7 linked regions of the Zea mays genome follow. The protein of the gene in region 5 binds, or shares a complex with, the protein of the main gene of each other region. Links are inferred from orthologs where the notes say so. Each region holds a gene or a part of one and is shown on either strand. Other genes may lie near its edges. The genes, in order: Photosynthetic NDH subunit of lumenal location 4, chloroplastic; Photosynthetic NDH subunit of subcomplex B 5, chloroplastic-like; ndhJ; NAD(P)H-quinone oxidoreductase subunit N, chloroplastic; NAD(P)H-quinone oxidoreductase subunit O, chloroplastic; photosynthetic NDH subunit of lumenal location 1, chloroplastic; NAD(P)H-quinone oxidoreductase subunit M, chloroplastic.

Region 1 (3,463 bases), on a different chromosome or scaffold from region 5:
AGGCCCGAGGAAACAGCTCTCGGCGCTCCCAGGAACCACCAATGACATAGAGCCAAAGAGGTGAGGTCAAATTGCACTGGAACTTTTTTTAGTACCTATAACCCAAGCCCAACCATCCCAGTGATGTGACAGTGATACTCTCTCACAAGCAAAATAGTTTCCCGATCCCGATGTGGCGCTCCAACGGCTAATGCGGCTTGGTCCTATCTTACGCTTTCGCTTCTGCAAATCTACGTCTTCACAACCCATGGAAATGGTGCCAGTGGTTTAGCTTCGCCTTTGTTGCTTCAGCAGCCTCCCCAATTCAGGCAGACAGCAGAGGCGGGCACCGTCTGAACCGGTCGATGAGAATTTTTGCTCCAAGCTACTACGGGCACACATGTGTCAGGCACGAGCGCGAGACCTCTCTGCACATCCGAATCGTGAGTGTTTAGTCGGCATGATTGATCGAATGCTGAAGGGTTTGACGCCATTCGCCAGTCACGCTGACAGTCTGACTGACACAAACAAATTCACGATTCCGTATCGGCTGTGCAAGCAAAGCTGGTGGCGCATGTGACATACACCTCCGATAACTTGCTCGCTTTGGCTGTATCAAACTGCTATATAGTCAACAATATGATTGGTCTTTACAAAGTTCCACAATGGCGTTATTACGTAACAAGGATGGTTTATATATATCATCATTTTATTCAATCCAGGTAGCTCTCTGGAGTACAGAAGCTTCTGCAAGTGGCTCTGCCTCTGCAGGTGCTTTCACCGCCAAGAATTCCTCCTGAAACCCTCCATGTGTGACACACGAAAACGATCGGTTACTCTGGAAAGAAGGACGTGAGTCACAGAAAACCAGGCGAGTTCAGAATAACGCTGTGCACGGCACACATATCAGACAGACCTTGTCTCTGCTCTTAGGTTCTGAACATTCCCTGTCATCGAGGGCTCACTTGTAGATCCCGACGAGGAAAAGGTCATATAGAAGTGTGGAGTTTCCGGGGATGTTGCAGTCTCCTGTCAAAAAAAGAAAAACAAAAGAAAAAACTAGAGAAGCAGTCTCCTTGACAATTCTAGAGCGAGAGCAGTTTGCTTATCTATGGTGTACGAAGTCATTTAGCGCAGTTCTGAAAATCGACCTGAGAAGCAGCCTGCCGGTTCAGGCCCGTACGCCAGTGACGCAGGTATCATCAGCTTGCGCTTTCCACCTGAGGCAGGTTTGCAACGGAGTCATCAGTCATGGAACAGCAAGCCAAATTAGCAAAGCCTCTATATTTAATGCACAGCTAAAAACTGCTCAAGTTCCTGTCCGTACCAACAAGCATGGGCGGCACACCGCCGCCGCCACTGATCCCCTGTTCAAGCCCTCGGAGGATCTGCACGCGGAGAACGCGAAAGAAACAGACCATCATTTTTTACTGGCATGAAAACTGAACGTCGTTTTCAGTGAGCGACAATGGATGCTTATACATGCACACCTTGCCTGCGCCTATGCGCATCGTCAGTGGCCTCCCGCGCTTGTAGCTGCTGTCGAACAGCGTACCGTCGGGAAATCTCGCGGTGTAGTGCACCTGATGACCATCGAGAGGACGAATATAATTAGGATCCGAAGCAAGCAGCACACAGAACGCAGAACAGGATGGCGGCATATGTTGCTGAGTTACTCGTGCAGAAGGGAAATGGACCACTGTACTATTACAGAGTAGGTTAAGTCAGAGGAAGGCGCAAGGCATGCAGGAAAGAAGAGACGGTGGTCTCGGTACTGACATTGATGAGCTCGCCGCGCGGGGGCTGGACGCCGGTGCCGACCTCGACGTCGCAGTACGCGAGGCCGGACTTGACGAGGCTCAGGTCGCACATCTTGTCCCCGACCGTCGCGTAGTACTCGATGCGCGTGGCGCCGGCGTCGCCCGCCGGGGACAGCAGCGCGGCCGAGGCCAGGAACCCGGCGCCCAGCGCCAGCAGCCCCCTCCTGCCCGCCGACGCCGACGCCGCCACCGGATGAGGAGTCGAGGAAGTGGACGGCGACGAGGACGACGCGGAGCCGCAGGGCGCGACGGAGAGCGCTCTGCCGCTGGTCTTCGGGAGCGGCGGCGGCGGCGTCGGGATTGGGCTGGACGCCATCAGAGACGACAGGGACGTGATGGGTGGCGCCATGGCTGCTTGTGGAGTGTGGATTATTATCCCCAGACTGTGGCTGCAAGGCGCGCAGGCTCGGGTCTTTATAATGACGCCCCGAAATTCGTCGCGCGGAGGCAGCATGGGCTCTGGATGTTTCAGCCGGCCACTGCAGCAGCAGGCCCGTGGTTTTACCGGGCCGAGCCGCAAGTTTCGGGACAGTCTACAGCCCACGTAGTTTTCTTATTTTAATCATTTTCTAAATCAATTTCTAAAAATTAACATCAGAGTAATTTTGTTTCTAAAACCAACCCGTATGACCGTGTAAATCTCCCTGCCGCGGACAAATACGCTGATATGCGACCCCGTTTGACGTGGCAGGTCGTGATCGATGACATGGCAAGTGTTGTCTGTTTTGATTGGATACATTTCAATGCACTTCAACCCCCTCTTCCAAGAGTATCTAAACTAGGCCTAAAATGCTTGATGGTCAAAGGTTTTCTCTCAATAAAACGGGATTAGTTTACACCATAAGAATATCGAGGTGACCTTTATAAGTCGCAAAACTACTTTTGTGAAGGATAATGATGGGTTCCGGTCAAAATGCAAGCAAGTTATGTACTAATGCAAGCAAGTTATGTACTTATAGCAGTACTGCAAGAACAAGAATAAAGGTACACCTTCTATTAAATTTGATTCTTATTATTTACTTGCAAAGTATACTATGGTATAAAGACAAAATTTATTAGAATATCTCTAATAGCTTATCCATCTTCATCTCCGTATTCAAATTTCACTCCACAGATAGTGCAATCTACTGTGCATAACAGTGTTTTGGATAACCATGTGAGTAACTGCTAGACACGATCTTAGTGCATCTATTATTGTTCCAAAGAGGAAGATAATATGGATTGCCAAAAGTCTAGTAACTATTTAGAAGAACAAACAAGTTTGGGTATTAAAAAACTTTTTTTAGATAAATTATAAGGCTCAAGAAAGATATTTAGGATTTGACAGTGGATACACACACTCGTCACCATCCTATAATTTACGTCGCTAGCTGCGGCCACCAGCATCTTTTTTTTTTCCTCACGTTTTGATGATATAACGACACAACGCAATACAAAAAGTGAACCACTTTGCCTAATGCCAACCAAAAGTACAATATAGGACCTGGTTAAGATAACAGCTGATGGGAAAAATCTACACCAATTTTTTTGGGGGTGCAGCTTTCAGCTGTCAGGTGCAATCATCTTTTAATCTCGGCACCGTAGAAGTGAAAATTTCGGAGTACCTTCTCTCCCATGTTTTTTTTCAACTGCATGTATAGTAGTCGGCTGCCTAGTCGCCTGTT
Region 2 (3,402 bases), on a different chromosome or scaffold from region 5:
GACTCTAGGCAGTCAGCTCTTCAGAACATCCAGGTGAAACAAACATCAGTGGGATGTGTAGTCTAGAAGAAAAGCTAGTTCTCTCCTCCTCAGGGCAGTAGACCAGCCTTGTTCTCTTTCGGAATTCGGGAAAAAAAAGAAGAGCCCGTCTTCATAGCGAGCCAGCTGCATCCCAAGTGTAAAAAAAAAAGAGAGGAAACAGCTGCGAGGCTTACCCTTTTTTTCTCCCCAGTTTTGTTACCCTGATGGTTCCTTCCTAATTCTCCCTTTTCTGCACATGTTTTTAGGGGAATTAATGACATTTTCCTTTTGTTGAATAATAATAAGAATGGGTGGGTGGTGGCAAACCAGCGGCTCTTGATTGTTCAGCGCATCAGTCTTGCATGTGTTTTTTTTTCTCTTCCCTTCAAAGTATTGGAGAAAACATGAAAACAAAGGCAATTCATGCAGAAAGTTGAAGCAACAGTCTGCAGAACATGTCGTGTATTATATGGCACGAGGATAGAACAGATTTTCAGGCTCTCCAGTCTTACAGGAAGGATGGCTTTCCTTTTTATTCAAGAGATTTTCCTAGCAGCTACAGCTTCCTTTCACAGGGTTTTTTTTGCTGTGAGGCAACAATCTGAAGGGCAGCGAGCGGTGTACGCAATGCATCTAGGTCGACTTGACGATGTCGTCCCTGGTGTTGACGGTGAAGTCCCAGAGCTCGCCGTACTTCTCGTTGAAGTCCCAGATGTCCATGGAGTTGTAGTCGGCGATGAGCTTGTCGCGGGCCGACCTCTCCATCATGTAGATCTCCGGCTCGAAGTTGTGCGGCTTGTCGGGCTTGCCCATCTCGATGACGCAGAACACCACGATGAAGACGGCCGCCCCGATGTACAGGTACTCCCCCTGGCGACACAAGCAGACGCGTCTCCGATCCGATCAGTAGATGCAGGTGACGAGTTTTTTTTTTTTTTTTTTTTGGGGCACAAATGCTTGGAGCGCAGGAATTTCACAGGAAACAATTCACTTTCCCGACAGAAAGCACAATTCACTTCCGACCAGGAAACTTCGTGTTCCAAACAGGGGACTAGGTACTGGGAGGAGGAAGTGCTGGATCCTTACCGGCACATTGAAAGCCATGCCGAGGATGATCGCAGGAGGAAATGCCCAGGAGATGAGTGCTGCAAGAGATCGCCGCCATTGATGCAGTGCAACAAATGAGCAAGGCAGAAGCATAAAGATCTGAAAGAGCTACACAGTAGTGGTAGTACCTTGAAAGCCCTGAGGAGGCTCAGCTTCTTGGTACCACTCGGAGACATCCTCCCAGAAGCCCTTCTTGTCTTGGGAAGAAAAGCGGGGGGTGTTGCGGTTGTTTGCAGGTTTTTGTTTCACCACAGCACAAAACAATCAGTGGACTATTATTTCTTTTTCTTTTTGCAATGAAGGATATCATATCATGAACAATGGAGTTCTTATTTTTTTCTGGGAGGATAGTAATACCTTGGCCTTCGAAATAGGTGTGGTGTCCGTCATACTTCCCGTACTCGAAGTCCTCCTGCAAGACAAGACAAGACAAGACAGATCCTCTCCAGTGTCATCCACGAACGAACGAACGAAACGTACTCCGTTCTTCAGAGCTCTCGTTCATAGCACAACCTACGTCAAGGTTCACTGCTTTCCTGCGTGTTCCTAGTCTAACTAACTAAGCGCGGAACGACAACCGAGAAGAGAAGAGAAGAAAAGGAAGGAAACGAGGGACGACGACGACGGACCGGGCTGATGCCGTTGGTGCGGTACACGTCGATGGCGTCCTCCTCCAGGTCCGGCTCGATCTCCGACAGCGGCCCAGGCCCGGCCCTCACCACCACCGCGCCGCCGCCCGGCCTCCTCCCGACACTCGAACGCCGGCGGCCGGCGTGCAGCAGCTGTGGCCGCGCCGCCGCCTTCACCCTCAGCTGCTGCGGCGCTGCGTCATGGCGGCGCCGAGCGGTGCTGGGCGCTGCAGATGGCGAGGCAGAGATGCCGGAGGACAGGCTGCTCATTATCTCGCCGCGGTGCTGCGATCGCTGCTGAGTGGTGACTGGTGAGTGCTCCAGCCCCCGCTGCTGGCTGCTGCTGCACTTCACGTTGCGGCCAAGAGACAAAAAAGCAAGCGGATAATGGTGCGCTGGAGTTGGACACCTACCGTCCAGGATTTTTCCGCTGTCTTTTCCTGTCCCTTTTTTCGTTTCTGGAAATAATCAGCTCATAAAAACTCGGTACGATTCTGTGGAACTGAACACCTACGGACGTCCCACAGTAACCCCTCCCCCCGCCAAAAAAAATCGTGATTCTGTGCGCTATATTTGTAAGAAACTGTCGCATGTGCTTTGGTCAACGGACACCAACAAAACAAGTGAGAACTCACTCTTTGTAGGATTATCTGTAACCCTGTCCTTTAAATTTTTCCATGTATATGGAGTGGTTCTTTCTAAATTCTCTCATACACTACACAACGATTTTTTTATAGCGACCTATGGTTGGTTGCTAGAACGTCTTCATCAACCTAGGGTTTAGGGTTTAGATATACACAGTTAATTAGTAGTACAATGGTGCTATGTTTACAAATAAATATACAGTACTAATTTGCATGTAAAGCTCTAACTGAATTCTTACCAAGCATCAATGGACACTAGAACATTTGGCGGCCTTGGGGTGCCCTCGAGATTGCGATGTCACAAGAAGACCCGCACATGACATTGTTACAGATCAGATCCTTAAGCCTAGTAATCAACAAACCAGTTTCTTAAATTAGTATTATACAAAAAAAATGCAATTGCTCCCAGTTCTTTTGGTATCAAGACAACATAGTCCCCCATCTTCATAGTAAGAGAAAAAAAGGCTAGCATCACTGCATCAATAAACTGCCCATGCATTTTTTTTTACTGTAATCGAACGATGAGTAAAGCTCTGACATCACCAGTACTCTACTCGTGAACGCCTCGAAGCCCTGCCTCTGTCCTTACCAGTTGGCGGAGAGTCAATGTGACTCAACTTCAGTCTGGAAGGTGAAAATAAAGCAACAAGACACAAATAAAATGAAATCACGTTGCTGCACTGAAAATACAGAGATGATTTCGTGCATAATCTCTCATACCGAACGTAGCAGAGCTGTCGTGGTACTCAACGGGTGGAGTAGCAGAGCTGTCGTGCTGTGGCATGCTGTTGGCGAAGACGAGAAGAACCAGACAACAACTCTGTGCGGATGGATAGCGGATGAACAACAACACTCCACATTTACCGGTCGTCGAGCTGCCGCTATATTTTAGCGGACCATTTGCCGGTTCTTGCTGGAGCGATAGCGGACACCGAGAAACGCTAAATATAGCATACCGAACGCTTTAGCGCCCCTTGTTGGAGACAGCCTAACACTACCAA
Region 3 (2,207 bases), on a different chromosome or scaffold from region 5:
TTCCACATTAATGGGAGTACATTTATGTTTCTGCTTCACGAATATGATATTTTTTGGACATTTCTAATAATAGCAAGCCTTATTCCTATTTTGGTATTTTGGATTTCAGGACTTTTAGCCCCGGTTAGTGAAGGACCAGAGAAGCTTTCTAGTTATGAATCGGGTATAGAACCCATGGGGGGGGCTTGGTTACAATTCCGAATACGCTATTACATGTTTGCGCTAGTTTTTGTTGTTTTTGATGTGGAAACAGTCTTTCTCTACCCTTGGGCAATGAGTTTCGACGTATTGGGTGTATCCGTTTTTATCGAAGCTTTCATTTTTGTGCTTATCCTAGTTGTTGGTTTAGTTTATGCATGGCGAAAAGGAGCCTTGGAATGGTCTTAACTGAATATTCAGAAAAAAAAAAAAAAGAAGGAAAAGATTCCATTGGGACAATTATGAGTTTGATTGAGTTTCCGTTACTCGACCAAACAAGTTCCAATTCCGTTATTTCAACTACACCAAACGATCTTTCAAATTGGTCAAGACTCTCAAGTTTATGGCCCCTTCTATATGGTACCAGTTGTTGTTTCATTGAATTTGCTTCATTAATAGGCTCACGATTCGACTTTGATCGTTATGGATTGGTACCCAGATCAAGTCCTAGACAAGCGGACCTAATTTTAACAGCTGGTACGGTAACAATGAAAATGGCTCCATCTTTAGTGCGATTATATGAGCAAATGCCTGAACCGAAATACGTCATTGCTATGGGAGCCTGTACTATTACAGGGGGCATGTTCAGTACAGATTCCTATAGTACTGTTCGAGGAGTTGATAAGTTAATTCCTGTGGACGTCTACCTGCCGGGTTGCCCGCCTAAACCAGAGGCTGTTATAGATGCCCTAACAAAACTTCGTAAGAAGATAGCGCGAGAAATAATTGAGGATCGAACTCTATGTCAAAGTCAAAAGAAAAATAGATCTTTTACTACCCGTCACAAACTTTATGTTCGGCGCAGTACTCACACTGGAACTTACGAACAAGAATTGCTCTATCAATCACCATCTACTTTAGATATATCTTCTGAAACTTTTTTCAAATCCAAAAGTTCAGTATCTTCCTACAAATTAGTGAATTAGGAGGGGTTCTTTTGTGCAGAAAAAGAAAGAAAAGAGCAGTACAATCTTTCAAACTTGCATTTGAAATGTGAAATATTTATACAAAGGGGGAGAGATCAAGACAATGCAGCAGGGTTGGTTATCTAATTGGCTAGTTAAACATGACGTGGTTCATAGGTCTTTGGGCTTCGATCATCGAGGAGTAGAGACTTTACAAATAAAAGCGGGGGATTGGGATTCCATTGCTGTCATTTTATATGTATATGGTTACAATTATTTACGTTCCCAATGTGCTTATGACGTAGCACCCGGTGGATCTTTAGCTAGCGTGTATCATCTTACGAGAATACAGTATGGTATAGATAACCCAGAAGAGGTATGCATAAAAGTCTTTGCCCAAAAGGATAATCCTAGAATCCCGTCCGTTTTCTGGGTTTGGAGAAGTGCCGATTTTCAAGAACGCGAATCTTATGATATGGTGGGAATTTCTTATGATAATCATCCACGTCTTAAACGTATCTTAATGCCTGAAAGTTGGATAGGCTGGCCCTTACGTAAGGACTATATAACCCCCAATTTCTATGAAATACAAGATGCTCATTGAGTGATAATAAATTCATGTTCACTTATACAACACAATTCCAGATTTTATTCAAGTCAAGGAATATTTTGACGTTCTGTTCCTAGACGAAACGAAATACTTAGAATATAATATTCTAATTAATTCCTATTATACAAAAGGTCCAGATAGACTGAACAAAAAGGGCTTCATTTCTATTTTCCAATTTGGAAAATCACATATTTGTTTCCTTCGTATGAACAGAAAAATACAATGACTCAAAGAAGTTCCTACCACGAACTTTGTACCGCGCATATTACTTAGAACAACTGGGAAAGTAGGATAAGCAAGAATAAAAAAAAATATATTCTTCGGAATAGCGGTATACAAAATTAATAAGAAATGCAAAATGAAGAAAAGGGCACCTAATCTCACCTCTTTCTATACCATAAAGAACCAGAGATTTAAACCCTTTTTTTTAAAAGAAAAAGAAGTGTGTAGAGATTTATCTACTTACTCTAGAGATTTATCTACTTACTCTAGAC
Region 4 (3,384 bases), on a different chromosome or scaffold from region 5:
TTTTGGATAGAAAATTAGAAGATAGGGGAAGAATCTGAAGAAGGCTCCTCGAAGAAACTTCTTTACCTCCCATCCACATGTGGTGTTCTAGTTTCTGATATGCGTTTTTTTTTTGGGTTAATTCATTCATCTTATGTTCGTTGCTTCTGTGTGAGGGGAAAGCACTTCCTCGCTCTACTCGTGCGGAAGCGATCCATTCTTTCGTGTCCAACTCACACGTCAAGAATATCGAAATGTGGACCCTTTTCAGCGCGCTCTTTAATTCAGCTTACCTGAGCATCAATGGTGAAGGAAGAATGCAAGCTCATTGACCAAGGTGGCAATGATGTCGCCGATCCACAACGCGATGGAGACGAGGACAGTGATCTCGTGTGCCTGCGCTCTCGTGTTCGGCTGTGCGCCTGGGTTCTGAGAATCCTAAACGCGTCGCGGCCGTGAACTATTCACATGTATGGAAATCTGTACATGGTTCGCATTCTTTCTCTTCTGACACTCGTGCCAAAAAAATGTATGTATATCTTTATTAATTGCCTCTCTCATTCAGTGCAAAGCTGCAGGAATGGCAGGGAGAGATGTCCCAGAAGCAATTGGAGAGTGTAGCAGTAGCAGTAGCCAGTCTGGTAGACAACTAGCTAGACCTGCTTGCTTGATCATTCCTCCGCGTCCGGGTCCGGCTCGAGGCCTGCGATCTGCTTCAGTGGCTTCCAAACAAAGCTTCTCCTGCACGCGTGCAACAGGGCCACACGTACGTAATCAGGCCTTAGCCACAAGTGGTCCCGTGTGGGAAATTTAGACATGGAGGGAGGTAGAAGGAAGCGCATGTACCAGTTGCCGCATTCTGCGATCACCCTGACTTTGGGGCGGATGTCCGGGAGCATGGCCAGGAACTGCAGCTCAGCCTTGGACAGAACCTGCACGTAGACCAGACGAGAGGCCCGAAGAAGAGGTTCAGGAACAGAGCACTCGTCAGTGGTGTGCCGATCGATGGAGGCGCGTGCATGTAGATGTAAGCAGGCACCTCACCTTGGCTTCGATGATCCAGACGACGAGGCCTTTGGCGTCCGGGTGCAGCAGGCTGAGCCTGTAGTCCACCTCCGGCGGGAAGTACCACCGCGCCACCGGCTGCCTGCCGAGGCTAGGCTGCAGTCACCGCACCGCCACTCCAATCGAGTCAGTTCGTCGATCGACCGCTCGGTTCCCGCACGCGACGAAAGGACACGGCACAGCCACAGCAGCAACAACAAGCAAAGAAAGAGAGAAGGGAACGTATGTCGTGCTCACGTGATGTCCGTGCTCATGTGAGCACTTTAAATCGTGAGTGTTCTTTCTTAATCCAACGATTAGTGCTTTTTATTCACTTAAGTCCTCTCACCTTAACGATGAGTGTTCCTGGCCAGCAGCATGATCGTTAGATTAAGAAGGAACACTCACGATTTAAAGTGCTCACATGAGCACGGACGTCGCGTGAGCACGAGATACGTTCCCAAGAAACTAAAGGCGTGCTACGTACCGGGCAGACGGGGTGGACCTTGGTGAGCGTGGTCTCCGGGTCGCCGAGCCCCCGCGCGGAGAGGTCGAGGAAGTAGTAGCCCTGGTAACGGAGGCGGTTCAGGTAGCGGCCCTCGTAGCCGCCCTCGTGCGGCGGGTAGATGGCCAGCGCCTTGTGCTTCTCCACGTCGTCCAGCCACTTGCCCAGGTCCGGCCGCACCAGGTCGCCGCCCACGAAGTCCCACACCGTGCTGCGCACCGACACCGACCCCCGGCCGCCCCGCGACCCGCCGCGCCGGCCGCTGAGGAGCGAAGGCGCCGGGACTGGGGACACGGACACCGCGCGCGCCGCCGCCGCCGTTGCTGCCGACCACATGGTGCTGCTGCCTGCGGCCGTGCGTGTGGGTGGGTGGGAGTGGAAGTGGGACTGTGGGAGGAGTCGCTTGATTGCTTTTGAGCCTGTGGCGGGAAGATGGCTTGCGCTGAAGCTGAAGTGGGGAGGAGGGGTCGCGGATAAGTCTCCAATCCAGGCCGTAGGTTGGTCTGTCAGCCGAACTGCCCAAGACTGAAAGAGCAGAGTACATGTGTTACCACTTACCAATCTGTATTCAGATTCTACTCAGAGATCGCACACAGTACGGATACGTGAATTTTCTTTAGATCCAAACAAAATATTAAAATGCATTAAAAGTTACATAGATCATTAATCCTGTTAAGGCCTATTTTAGAAACTTTAGTTTATTCAGACCCGCCAATTCTGAAGGTGATTTGTGTTTCCAAAGTCTAAACTGTCCCAAAAGAATGTCATCAACTGGAAACCCACGTAAATGCATTTGTTTTAGAACGGAGGGAGTAAAATTTCGGTGTGGATCACGTTGACTTCAGAAGTTATTTGAAAAATTAAAATATAAAGAACTTAAATAAATATTTAGGCATATAACGATTTGAGGACACCAGCTTAAAAAACCTTTTAAATTAAACAGTTAGTAAAGTAGGTCACGCGCTCTTTTTGCTTTTTTTAAAGAAAGATGGATGTTGTGCATCATTTGTTGGGATGGTCGTGCTTAGTCTGTCCCAGCAGGGTTCCAAAATTTTATCCACTAAGATAATATTTCTAGTCTTTCACATCACCATTTAAAAGATTCTATCATGTATATTTTTCATGCCTTCAGCAGCAGCAACCTCTAAATTTTATCATCTATATCTCATCATCTATTTTTTTCCAGCCATATTAATGAGAAAAAATTCAAACGATATTTTTTCCATTCACCAATTGTGTACTCCCTCCGGTCCTGAAAAAGATGTCGTTTTAGACAAGGTTTGAGTGAAACATATAAAACTTTGACTATAAATAATAGTTTTGAAATCTAATATATATATACATATATATATATCTTAAAAATCACTTTTACAAAAGTATAAATATATTAAGAGTTTATTTGTATTTACAAAAATATTGGTCAAAGCTATATTTTGAAGACCGTGTTTATGTTCTAAATGACTAGCTTCTGTTGCATCGGACACTGGTCACTAGAAAAACAATCCTCTTTTAGTTTGTTCCTTATCCGCCACTAGGCAAGGCTATAGAGGAAGTTCGCGGTGGTGACAACATAAGAGGAAAAAGATGGCGCGCATGACAGGACGGTCGTGGAGACCAGTGGCGAACGCAGGATAAAATTATAGGTGGAGCAACATTATAAAAGCTAAATCACTAGATTAGATCACAACTCACAAGATAAAACTAGTTTTATGATGACAATATGGAGGATAAGTAATAATACTAGAAATGTTTCATAATAACATGCATACCGAAATTTCTCTCTTAATCTGCAGTGCGGCACCAAAATCACCGACAAAAATCCAATCTACAGTTAGAAAAGATGTATATTAGATGAA
Region 5 (2,941 bases):
ATATGATCAAATCTTGAACCATCCAACTCCCTATTTTTTTCGAACAAAGTCGTTTCTTGGCATCGAGCCATTCTAAACACTAACTTAGACTGTCTTCAGTGGATCCCCTAAAATAGAGGACATGATACTGTAAATAACAATATTTATCATTGTTTATAGAGTAAAGTCTGAAATAAGGGATGTGATATGAGATGAGATAGGGGAGTTGGTTGACACGGTCTTAGAGATTATCTAAAGATGGCTCAACCTTGTTTCCCTCCCTGACTAATTGTACATTGTTTATTTCAGCAGTGGCTAGCTGCGGAGTGTAGACAGAGGCGTGTGCGTGATGATACACTTTGACCCATAATATAAATGCTGGAAAGGTATATTATAAACCTTTGTTTGTGGCTGCTTCATAATCGGTACACTATCATTTTTTTATTTTGTCGTTTTTTATTCGAAAATAAACTATCGACGAGACAAATATTCAAGAACGGAGACAATATATTATTAGTATTAATTATGAAATGTGAGTTTAAATAACATAAAGAAGTGATGTGCAGCAGCAATTATGAATCTCGTCATCGTACGTCGCTCTCGATCTACTTCCTGATTATTCCAGCAGCTGAGGTCTCAGATTGCCTCTGTCGACTGTTCTGGCAATACTGGCATGTACGTATATACCTACAACAAGTCAACAACAAGAGGTGTGTCCTGCTTGGCCGACTCCTGATGCGAAATGAAGCATGAATTCGGCGGCGGCGCTACGGTGCCCTGCGAGGCCGCCGGCCGGCCATCATATCCTCTCGTAGTCGAGCTTGTCCGACTGCAATGCAACAAATCACATGCCACAGAGACAGAGAGCGAGAGCGAGGTGAGACGAGTGGTGCATGACGTACAGATTGATCCAACTGGGGATGAATCAGCTACCTTGATGAGCATGTAGGTTGGTAGCCATGCCGGTGGCGTCGGGATCCCCACCCAAGCGATCTGAAATGCATGCACGCGCGCGTTGGTCTGAAACTCTGAACATGTATGGTGGAGGCAGAAAGCATGACGAAACTCTGAACACAGCATGCGCGGATGGAAGTAGTTTTCATTACCAGGGCGTATTCTCCTGTTTCGAAGTTCCTGATATCCAAGACCTCGCCGCGGTCTTGGTATATGTAGTCCAGCCCCTTGTAGAAGGGCGGGTGTCCCACTGACAGATAATTGATGCTGTTCAGGTACTTCTCCTTGTCCACGCGCACAATCTGCCCTTTCTTCACTGCAAAGCTCAGCCAGTTTCATCATGCATGCATGGCCGCGCGCGCGAGAGCTAGAGGGAGAAGTAGGGGGGGGTGGGGGGGGGGGGGGGGGGGGTCTTGTCGTCGTCTTACTCGAGTAGACGGGCTTCTTCTTGAGGATCTTCTTGGGAGCGGCCGCCGGCGGCGGCGGCGGCGTCGTCTCCTCCCCGGCCGCCGCGGAGGCCCTGCAGATGTGAGGAGCGGCGGAGCGGCGCCGGGCTGGGCCGGCCGGCGTCGCCACTGGGCACGCGCGCGGGAAGAGCGCCCGAGGCGCCGAGGCGAGGGCTTCCATGGTGCGGCGGGCGAAGGGATGGATTGCTCGCTCAGCTAGTCAGCTACTCAGCCAAATCCGGACGCGCGGTGTGCCAGTGCCACAGGACCCGGATAAGGCGATCGATACACGGCTGCCTTTTTGCTATTGGTTGGCCATTTGCTTCCCATTGCAAGCGCAAGAGAGAGAGAGGGGGGGGGGGGAATCATCATCTACTTTGGCTGCTGTCATGACCTGCCACCACCAAGAAGTGGAGATTCCCATTCAGAAAAAGAAGACGACGATGGGAAATGGGTGGATCCAAGAGCCAGGCAGGCGCCCCCCCAGTGCGCAGCGCACGCAGGTGGATCTTCCTTGTCCGGTCCCACCAGCGCCATCAACACAGGTTTGACTTCCATCCTTACACACCTTCCAAAACCCCTCTGACGTGTGGGTCCACCGAGTTATCAAAGTGGCGATGGGGCCCGCGGCCGGGCGACGAACCGGCGTGCGCGGGCAGGCAGGCAGGCAGGCGGTTGGCCTGGATTCAAAAGGGACTCTACTTTTGGCCCATTTCCAACCACCATCTGCCTAGGCGTCTGTCTGTCTGTCTGACGCCGCGCCCACCACCGTCCCGCAAAAGGCGCGCCGCGCCGCGCCGCGCCGTCCCGTCCGTCTTCGTCCCCAGTCCCCACCAACCTGTCCGGATGGGCCACTCGGCGTCGCGGCCCACTGCCTGCGCCGGCGCCGGCGAGGCGCTGCCCTCGCGCTTCGCGCGGTTCCGCCGCCGCCTGCGCAACCGCCTGCGCCGCGGCGCCGGCGACGACTCGGTCTCCTCCAAGGCCCTCGCCGCCGACGAGTTCGCCGGCATCGCACGCGTCCGGATAGCCAAGGTACGTGGGCCGCGCGCTGCGAACTCCGCTGCTACGCGCATGTTCCTTAGCACCGAGTCTCGCTCCCCGCTTCGACGCGGCCAGCCGAGGCGGAATCCGTGGGTTTCGATTCGTATCGCATCACTGTCTCTGCCTCTCTGACTCTGACTTTGACTCGCCATGGTTGATCCTCCTGTTCGGTTTCCGGGCGCAGGCGGATATGCAGTTCAAGGACAAGTTCTTCGCGTGCCTCTCTCTCGGCGACCGCACGTACCGCACCGAGACGTCCGACAAGTGCGTCGCCCTTGCTTTTATTTACTGCTCGAATACTCGTCCTATGTCTGTTCCATTTCCATTCCTCTGTGCAAGAATATCCCTGTCTCGCTCTCATGTCTGCGTGCTGTGTGTCCCTCGACTTGGTAACTCTCAAATGTCCCTCTGGCTGTGCCCTCCGATCTAGTAAATTTTAACTTCCACGCCGCACGCGGGATTGCTGATAAGTACCTCAGCCAGTTATGAGCCACCATATCGTGAATCGCCTTTGCCTGTAC
Region 6 (3,895 bases), on a different chromosome or scaffold from region 5:
ATCTGACACCTGGACAGAAGCAACGGATTGCCATCGCTAGGGTGGTTTTGAAGAACGCACCTATATTGCTGTTGGACGAGGCCAGCTCTGCGATCGAGTCTGAATCGAGTAGAGTGGTGCAAGAAGCTCTAGACACTCTGGTCATGGGTAACAAGACAACGATTCTCATTGCGCACAGGGCGGCAATGATGAAGCATGTTGATAACATCGTCGTCTTGAATGGCGGTAGGATAGTTGAGCAGGGCACACATGACTCTCTGATGGACCAGAACGGTCTATATGTTAGATTGATGCAACCCCATTTTGGCAAGGGCCTTCGCCAGCATCGGCTAATGTAATTATTCTTTTGAGTTTGTTTAGGTGTAAATTATCCTAGGGGATGATCAGGTTTCCTTGTGCGGCCACTCAGTCAGGGGCCCTTTTCGGCACATGAAAAATGCTGGGAGTTGCCGCCCTGTTGCTGTTCCGAGTAAGCCGACCTGGTCTTCTTGACAAAAAAATAAAAAAAATAGCTTGCAGATCCAAGTAATTCTGGAAATAGTTAGCAAGTTTGGAGGGCATTGTAATTGTTGTAATATATGAGCTGAAACATTCTTTCAGAGGCTCGTGCTTGTGGTGTCTCTCGCCTCTGTAATATTAGTGTTGCACCGACATGTTCACGGAGCGTGTAATTTTGGGAGCCACGAACCGACAGCAATGCAACCACATTCCCCCCCCCCCCCCCCCCCCCCCCCCCCCCATCTTTCGCTAAACAAGTTGCCGCACCATGCTCATGAGGCCGTCACAGAAGCAAGCGATCACGCCGTCAGGTCCGAGATCTTGAAGGAGTCCGCGACGACTTTGAGCCTGTTCCGCAGCCTGCTCCACCGGCGCTCGTTCGCGGTCACGATCAGCGTGTAGTACCGACCTAGTTAGAGCAAAAAACAAACAAACAAACAGAGTTTCATCTCTCTCTATTTCAACGCGAAGCGAAACACATGAACGTTTCCCGTTCATAGGTATCATACCGTTTCCAATGGCGACCGTCGCAAACGCAGAAACGCCGTAGCCCGGAGCCTCCAGATCGTACTCAAACGTCCAGTAGTTCTTGCCGTCCACGGTGCGCTGCAAAAATAGTAGGATAGGCCGCTTATTTCACTAGCACCATTTTTTTTATTTTTTTGCTCAGAGTTATCCAACTAGATTTGGCAACTCCAAACAAATGATAATTGCATGCATAAAGCGATGAACAGATGACAGACCTCTTGCATGTCGTAGATCGACGGTATTTGGTTCGGGGCAGCGTAGACGTTGTTTACCAGGTTGAAGATGGCCTGGTGTAATGTGGAAAAAAAAACATATTCATCACATCAGCAAAAGTGATTATCAGAGCTAAAACGTATATAATTTAAACGGAGGAGAGAGTATGTGTTTTATCTTTTGTGCCTAATCAAAGTGAAGAACACATAGTTTTTCCATAAAAAAGAAGAAGAATACATAGTCGAAAGAAGGAAACAAAACCCCCACCTCATCCATCGGTCCTAGGTCGCGGATGTCTGTTTTCTCGGTAGGAATGAACCCCACACGAACACACTGAAGGGCCAGGTTGCGGTCTTTGAACGCAGAATCATGACCCAAGAAGTCGAAATCCTATCCAGGGACAAGGGAACGAAGGCACCATGAAAATCACCCTACAGTTCTTAACTGTTCAAGAATCGATCGCATGGCGCCAACCTACCCTCCATTCAGCTGGATAAAGGTACGAGTACCCGTCTTTCGCGTCCACGTACGACTTGTAATTCTTCGGCACCTCTGAACAGCTCCGATCAGTGTCAAACAGGTAAGAAACGCAAAAAAAACGCTGCTCGAGGACACCGTCCTAGTCCGATCCTGATAGATACAATGCCAGGCCATCTATATAGGGATGATCGTTACCTTCAGCGAACGCAGCAGAGCTTGTCCTCAGTAGGCCAGTGGCTAACGCTCCAGCACCAAGCAAAGCTAGCCGTCTCTTCGTGACCTCTATACAAGCGGAGAGATGTTATGAACCAGGATTCTGTCGACCACTAGATGCATGAACGGAAAAAAAACAACAACAACAACAAAAGGGGGGGTTACTGGTGTCGTCCAAAGATCCTTGGATCGAGCTCGCCGCCACAGCTGAGGGAGGAGCCCTGTTCAGTTTGGTAGTCGCCGCGCAATTTGGCACAGCCAGCTGGAAACAAGCAACGGGTTCAAGCTGTTATTACTCCTCAGAACTGCAGGGAAAGTAAATGAATTCCAGAAAAAAACAGTGAGGAAGGGGCTTGAGCACGTACTTGTTTGGATACGGAGCAGACCAGGTTCTGCAGGCTCGCCATTTCGGCTTCAGTTGTTCAGGGTAGCGCTGAGCTCGAGGGAGAGTTCTGTGAAGCTTGTTACCCCCATCGTCAGTTATCCATAGCTGCTGGACACGCTCGAGCTCACTTTTCCACTATCGAGTGGGTGGTGGAACCGTGGAAGGGCTCGCTTTTCCCCTATCGAGTGTGTGGGTGGAAGCCAAGGCAGCCAAGTCAGCATGCTCATTATCCTCTCATTTCAGCACTCTTGCTTCTTTGTCTTGGACAGAGCACTGGCTGACAAAAATGGGCGTCCCTCTCAACAGGCAAACAGCCCTTCTGGTGGGTAGGTCGTTGATGACCCAAGACGAACTGTTCTGAATACAGTGATTTTTATGCCAAAAAAACAAAATTTCCAGGTTACATAATTTCATGACACCATGATAAGCGATATACAACAACGGCCACAATTATTCAATGCTAGTAAGCCTGTTGCATAATGCAGCTAGGTTTATTTGTTTTTTTCCTTAGTTGATTTATTAGTTTTTTCTTAGCTAATTGATAGTTGATCAATTAGTTCCCTTTTTTAACTAATTGATAGTTGTTTGTTAGTTTCCTTTCTTAACTAATTGGTTGATTTTTCCTTAGTTAATTGATAGTTAATTAAATAGTTTCAATAGTGTTTGAATGAGAGTCACGTACGAACGAGGTAAACACCAGAGTAGTTTTTGGTGGCGGCGTGATGCTAAAAAATCGAGGGGCGCCTCATCCCATGTTGACCTTAAACCAAACACAGTAAAAGACACTAGGCGCCATTCAAATCCACAACACATCAATAATCTTATAAGTTTTACCGAGCAAGCACTAACATGGCACCGGCCTAGGATTTAGGCAGCATGGCCATGGCCCGTGGCAGGACGTGCTGCAGCTTGAGCTGATGATTTATTACTTCCTTTCACTGCAAGGCCTTTTGCTCGCCAAACTATGACCATAAGTGCCGGAGCCGGAGCCGGAGCTTCTCCCCTGGCTTGAGTCTGCGGTGGCCGGAACCGGAACGACATCCTGCGGCGATTCTGCGACGTCCACCAAGAACATGTCAGGGTCGAAATGCTCCTGGCTCGAGCTCGAGGAAGCGAAGCCAAGCAGCGACGGCTGAACGGCGCAGGTGTCCAGAGACGAGTCGATGCTCCTGTGGCCGAAGCCGCTGGACGACGCAACGCAGTAGTAGCCAGTTCCCGCACGGGCACGCTGCCCCCGCGGCCCGAACGCGGCAGGAGCGAGTGCCTGGGCCTGGGCCTGGGCCTGGGCCTGGATGTGCTCGTAGCCGGTGGCGGCGAACGCGTCAGGCCGCGCGACTCTGGAGCACGATGCTCCGGGAACCGCCGCCTTCATCCGGGCGTTCCTTGCCTGGAGGTCCGCGAGCAGCATCCTCGCCTGGTTCCTGGCCTCGTCCCTTTCTTGCATCCTCCTCCGTGCGAGCGTGGCCAGATGCCAGATTGCATCGTCAGCCTCCGCAGACAAAGCGAGGATCTTTTGCCGCTCCAGTCTGGCCCAGCCAAGTTGCTCCTCCAGAACTCTGCGCTCCTGCCAGCAGAACG
Region 7 (3,114 bases), on a different chromosome or scaffold from region 5:
GACGAAGTACTCAGCAGCAGCATAGCATGGTGGTGTTCCCTAATTTTAATTATTTAGGGCTAGTTTGGGAACCCAATTTCCTAAGGGATTTCTATTTTTCCAAGGGAAATTAGTTCATTTTCCCATGGAAAAATAGAAATCCCTTAGAAAATTGAGGTTCCCAAACTAGCCCTTACTGTATCTTTATGCTTCTGTAGAACATTGAGCTAGAAGACCAATTCAGACCATGGAGCGATGAATTTAAAAAGTACCGAGTTGTCATGGAATGTTTGTAGAGGGTTTACCCATACTAGCCATTACTCCATCCAGTTCAGAAAGTCGTTTGGTAAGTTAGCGCGGTCGTCTCTGTGCAACTCTCTGACCTCATGTGGTATTCGGTGATACGTATCTATTAGCAGAAACTATGGTATTGTGTACTGTAACCCAATTCGAGTGCCCTAGAAACAGAAGGGGTATCTAAACTCGAGCAAACCCTTATTTTGCCCAGACTCTCGTTATGTGGTTATTACTGTGCAGGGGTGACAAAATTCTGCCAACAGAATCGGTGTATGGCTTTGCATCTGCGTAATATGAATTCTGGAATGCTCTGGATCGTATCTGGGACTGCAGAGTATACATCTTGCTCGGTAATCGAATGGAGAGAAACCATTCTTTTAAGGGCGTTGGATAAGTACATTCTATATCTTTTCTGGTATCTGGTTGCTGTTGAACTTGATGCGAGGCTTGCCCATGCTGAAATTGAGGACTCTGGACCTCATGTTGTACTTGATCACCCCGTCGTACAGCAGTTTGCGGATGTAGTGCTCAAGGTCTGACCCGATCAACCGAAGTGTGTACTCCGACAGCTCAGCCCCCTGTTTCAAAGCAGAAACGAGCTCAGCTATCCTCTTACCGATCACTTCTTTTGCCAAGACCGTATGTTTTATTTTTTTGGCAGGAGTGGCTCTAAAGTAGATGAAAAGGGGGGAAATGACCGTACGAATTTCAGACAACAAGAGATTCAATTCAAATTTTTTTTATCTACTATCGGAGCTGTTGGAGTGGGAGCAACTACAGAGGTTACCTCGTAGTGATCGACGAGGTCCTGGAACTCGTTGAAGACCATCTGGCAGGCCTCGTCGGTCCAGGCGAACTCGTCCTGGGGGTCGAGCATGAGCGTCAGCTTGTCCATCTGCGTCTGGTCGAACGCGTTGGTCACCGGGTCGATGTACGCAGCGTAGATGCGGACGTGCCGCGTGGTGCTGCTCAGCCACTGCCCGCCGTACTCGCGGCTCATGTTCTTGCTCTCCGCCAAAGGCTGCCGCGGCAGGGACTGCGCGTCCCCCTTCCTCGCCTGCTTCTCCGCGTCCTGTGGCGGCGGCACGCTCGCCACCTCGGCCTCCTCCTCCTTCACCTGCTGCTCTTGCTGCGCTCGCGCCGGAGGGACCCTGACGCTGATACGTCCCGCCGTTTTGGGGCTAGCGAACCGACGCCCCTGCAGCGGCAGCTTGGCCGGGGGTAGAAACGCCGTGGTCGCCATGTTTGTGGTGGCCTCTCGCCTGCTTCTTCGCCTGTGCTTTGGCTAGTGCTGGATTTTTGTCGTTCCGCGCGTGCAGCAGCTTAGCCACAAGCGGAGAGCGTGGCTTGTGTCGCGTACTTTTTTGTGTGTGTGGATAAGGGCCGTTTCTGCCACTGACTTCGGTTTCGGTTTGCACTTTTGCACAGCGCACCATTGGGCCAAGCAGGCTTCCAGACTCATTGGGCTCTGAACGCTGGTGCGGCGGTTGCCTTGCGATTTCGGGGTACGCGGTTTGTCGTCAGTCTCGCACAGAGTACTGAAGAGCACCAGCTTTCATCGCCATTGCACAAGCATTACGCACAACACTACGTAAATTCAGCTTGGAAGACGCCTAACCCGGCAATCTCCGAACCTGTACATACACATTACACTACGTACGGACACTTGCAACATATGTACAATAGCGTGCAGAACTGCCTGTTATTACAGTATTGTTACAGCTCACAAATCTAATCACACGAATCAAATAATCGTGCTAAGCAACCAATGAGCAAGCACCACGAACTAGCCATGCAAGTTCGTTTCCACCGGCAGCAGCAGCGTATTTGGAAGAAGGCCGGTGCTGCCTGCATCTGCGAGGGGTATCACGGGGAGCTTCTCGCAGTCGCAGACCTCGACCACATTGCCGTCTGGGTCGCGGAAGAAGAGCTGCTCCACCACCGTCTCGCCGTCTCACACCCGCGCCGCCACGAACTCCAGCTCCATGTCACCCAGCCTCGTCTTCATGAGCCCCATGTCCGTGCACTGCACGCCATTGCCAAACGAGCACACCCGATCAGCGGGTGCTTACTGGTTACTGCTACTACTAAGTACTCGTACTAACTAAGCAGGTCAACTCTGCGCGAGAGCAAGGATCCTCTCTGCTTGGATTGGACTAAATTTGGCTGCCTATCCAGTTTCTTAATTCTGCGAGAGCGCTCTGGTGGTCACCTGAAAGGAAATGTGGTTGCCCTTGGGGTTGATCGCCGGCGGTCTTGCAGCTGCCGGAGCGTTGGGCGACGAATCCGAGCCGCGCTGCAGTAGATATATCCCCATGCCGTACCTGTGCATCCTGGAAAGCACGCAACGAGTTGACCTCACCTTGGCGAAAATAATAATAATAATAATAATAATAATAATAATAATAATAATAATAATAATAATAATAATAATAATAATAATAATAATAATAATAATAATAATAATAATAATAATAATAATAATAATAAATCGATGGACAAGAAACAGGCACTAGCTAGGCAGTGGTATATATGTAGTGCGAAATGGCTGCTCACCATGCTCCTCCGAAGTCGAGGGACGCCGGGCGTTTGACGAGCTCGAAGCCAAGCACGCGCTGGTAGAAGCCGACCGATGCTTCCACGGACTCGCACTGGAACGAGACGTGGTTCAGGCGGACGAGGGGGAGGGCGGGAGCAGGGCCATGCGCGTCATAGCTGCGCGCATCCTTCTCGTGGAAATCCATAGAGGTTTTGCGGCGGAGAGTCAACGCAGCCGTGTTTTGTCGGAAAACAAGGTTTGATCGGTGAAACAACGACACTTCTCGTCCAGGCCAAGAG

The links.
Region 1: NAD(P)H-quinone oxidoreductase subunit O, chloroplastic (region 5) and Photosynthetic NDH subunit of lumenal location 4, chloroplastic share a complex: the UniProt entries of both Arabidopsis thaliana proteins name them as parts of the chloroplast NDH complex. The link is inferred for Zea mays from reciprocal best matches to the Arabidopsis thaliana genes NdhO and PnsL4.
Region 2: NAD(P)H-quinone oxidoreductase subunit O, chloroplastic (region 5) and Photosynthetic NDH subunit of subcomplex B 5, chloroplastic-like share a complex: the UniProt entries of both Arabidopsis thaliana proteins name them as parts of the chloroplast NDH complex. The link is inferred for Zea mays from reciprocal best matches to the Arabidopsis thaliana genes NdhO and PnsB5.
Region 3: the proteins of NAD(P)H-quinone oxidoreductase subunit O, chloroplastic (region 5) and ndhJ are in contact, whole or in part, in a cryo-EM structure (PDB 7WFG), measured with the Arabidopsis thaliana proteins. The link is inferred for Zea mays from reciprocal best matches to the Arabidopsis thaliana genes NdhO and ndhJ. Residues at the interface, in NP_565093.1 of Arabidopsis thaliana: Ser91, Ile92, Leu95, Asp107, Tyr108, Ile109, Tyr127, Val130, Ile135, Pro136, Thr137, Pro139, Ala140, Trp141, Leu142; in NP_051062.1 of Arabidopsis thaliana: Ala60, Pro61, Ile138, Gly139, Arg143, Lys144, Asp145, Tyr146, Ile147, Ala148, Pro149, Asn150, Ile154, Gln155.
Region 4: NAD(P)H-quinone oxidoreductase subunit O, chloroplastic (region 5) and NAD(P)H-quinone oxidoreductase subunit N, chloroplastic share a complex: the UniProt entries of both Arabidopsis thaliana proteins name them as parts of the chloroplast NDH complex. The link is inferred for Zea mays from reciprocal best matches to the Arabidopsis thaliana genes NdhO and NdhN.
Region 6: NAD(P)H-quinone oxidoreductase subunit O, chloroplastic (region 5) and photosynthetic NDH subunit of lumenal location 1, chloroplastic share a complex: the UniProt entries of both Arabidopsis thaliana proteins name them as parts of the chloroplast NDH complex. The link is inferred for Zea mays from reciprocal best matches to the Arabidopsis thaliana genes NdhO and PnsL1.
Region 7: NAD(P)H-quinone oxidoreductase subunit O, chloroplastic (region 5) and NAD(P)H-quinone oxidoreductase subunit M, chloroplastic share a complex: the UniProt entries of both Arabidopsis thaliana proteins name them as parts of the chloroplast NDH complex. The link is inferred for Zea mays from reciprocal best matches to the Arabidopsis thaliana genes NdhO and NdhM.

The regions. Positions count from the first base shown.
Region 1 is NC_050100.1:216,381,265-216,384,727, reverse strand, and holds Photosynthetic NDH subunit of lumenal location 4, chloroplastic, read right to left. Parts: upstream 2,168-3,463; 5' UTR 2,149-2,167; coding exon 1,759-2,148; intron 1,563-1,758; coding exon 1,470-1,562; intron 1,368-1,469; coding exon 1,307-1,367; intron 1,200-1,306; coding exon 1,131-1,199; intron 1,009-1,130; coding exon 941-1,008; 3' UTR 896-940; intron 818-895; exon of another isoform or gene 776-817; 3' UTR 501-775; downstream 1-500. UniProt on the Arabidopsis thaliana protein: NDH shuttles electrons from NAD(P)H:plastoquinone, via FMN and iron-sulfur (Fe-S) centers, to quinones in the photosynthetic chain and possibly in a chloroplast respiratory chain.
Region 2 is NC_050098.1:158,250,019-158,253,420, forward strand, and holds Photosynthetic NDH subunit of subcomplex B 5, chloroplastic-like, read right to left. Parts: upstream 2,071-3,402; 5' UTR 2,028-2,070; coding exon 1,758-2,027; intron 1,541-1,757; coding exon 1,486-1,540; intron 1,326-1,485; coding exon 1,257-1,325; intron 1,167-1,256; coding exon 1,108-1,166; intron 892-1,107; coding exon 655-891; 3' UTR 501-654; downstream 1-500. Other genes in the region: putative transmembrane protein kinase family protein, read left to right, coding at 1-37. UniProt on the Arabidopsis thaliana protein: NDH shuttles electrons from NAD(P)H:plastoquinone, via FMN and iron-sulfur (Fe-S) centers, to quinones in the photosynthetic chain and possibly in a chloroplast respiratory chain.
Region 3 is NC_001666.2:50,035-52,241, reverse strand, and holds ndhJ (NADH dehydrogenase subunit J), read left to right. Parts: upstream 1-1,227; coding exon 1,228-1,707; downstream 1,708-2,207. Other genes in the region: ndhC (NADH dehydrogenase subunit 3), read left to right, coding at 25-387; ndhK (NADH dehydrogenase subunit K), read left to right, coding at 441-1,124. UniProt on the Arabidopsis thaliana protein: NDH shuttles electrons from NAD(P)H:plastoquinone, via FMN and iron-sulfur (Fe-S) centers, to quinones in the photosynthetic chain and possibly in a chloroplast respiratory chain.
Region 4 is NC_050098.1:176,087,654-176,091,037, reverse strand, and holds NAD(P)H-quinone oxidoreductase subunit N, chloroplastic, read right to left. Parts: upstream 1,932-3,384; 5' UTR 1,865-1,931; coding exon 1,511-1,864; intron 1,141-1,510; coding exon 1,024-1,140; intron 912-1,023; coding exon 826-911; intron 721-825; coding exon 651-720; 3' UTR 501-650; downstream 1-500. UniProt on the Arabidopsis thaliana protein: NDH shuttles electrons from NAD(P)H:plastoquinone, via FMN and iron-sulfur (Fe-S) centers, to quinones in the photosynthetic chain and possibly in a chloroplast respiratory chain.
Region 5 is NC_050103.1:163,552,443-163,555,383, forward strand, and holds NAD(P)H-quinone oxidoreductase subunit O, chloroplastic, read right to left. Parts: upstream 1,713-2,941; 5' UTR 1,561-1,712; coding exon 1,362-1,560; intron 1,250-1,361; coding exon 1,086-1,249; intron 973-1,085; coding exon 913-972; intron 809-912; coding exon 779-808; 3' UTR 501-778; downstream 1-500. Other genes in the region: Phosphatidylserine decarboxylase proenzyme 2, read left to right, coding at 2,226-2,411, 2,605-2,684. UniProt on the Arabidopsis thaliana protein: NDH shuttles electrons from NAD(P)H:plastoquinone, via FMN and iron-sulfur (Fe-S) centers, to quinones in the photosynthetic chain and possibly in a chloroplast respiratory chain.
Region 6 is NC_050096.1:42,029,523-42,033,417, reverse strand, and holds photosynthetic NDH subunit of lumenal location 1, chloroplastic, read right to left. Parts: upstream 2,524-3,895; 5' UTR 2,340-2,523; coding exon 2,298-2,339; intron 2,219-2,297; coding exon 2,098-2,218; intron 2,002-2,097; coding exon 1,915-2,001; intron 1,792-1,914; coding exon 1,718-1,791; intron 1,630-1,717; coding exon 1,507-1,629; intron 1,314-1,506; coding exon 1,242-1,313; intron 1,105-1,241; coding exon 1,008-1,104; intron 908-1,007; coding exon 798-907; 3' UTR 501-797; downstream 1-500. Other genes in the region: ABC transporter B family member 20, read left to right, coding at 1-338. UniProt on the Arabidopsis thaliana protein: NDH shuttles electrons from NAD(P)H:plastoquinone, via FMN and iron-sulfur (Fe-S) centers, to quinones in the photosynthetic chain and possibly in a chloroplast respiratory chain.
Region 7 is NC_050097.1:23,630,826-23,633,939, forward strand, and holds NAD(P)H-quinone oxidoreductase subunit M, chloroplastic, read right to left. Parts: upstream 1,688-3,114; 5' UTR 1,520-1,687; coding exon 1,064-1,519; intron 855-1,063; coding exon 678-854; 3' UTR 501-677; downstream 1-500. Other genes in the region: uncharacterized LOC100502247, read left to right, coding at 198-275; uncharacterized protein, read right to left, coding at 2,231-2,302, 2,489-2,609, 2,833-3,020. UniProt on the Arabidopsis thaliana protein: NDH shuttles electrons from NAD(P)H:plastoquinone, via FMN and iron-sulfur (Fe-S) centers, to quinones in the photosynthetic chain and possibly in a chloroplast respiratory chain.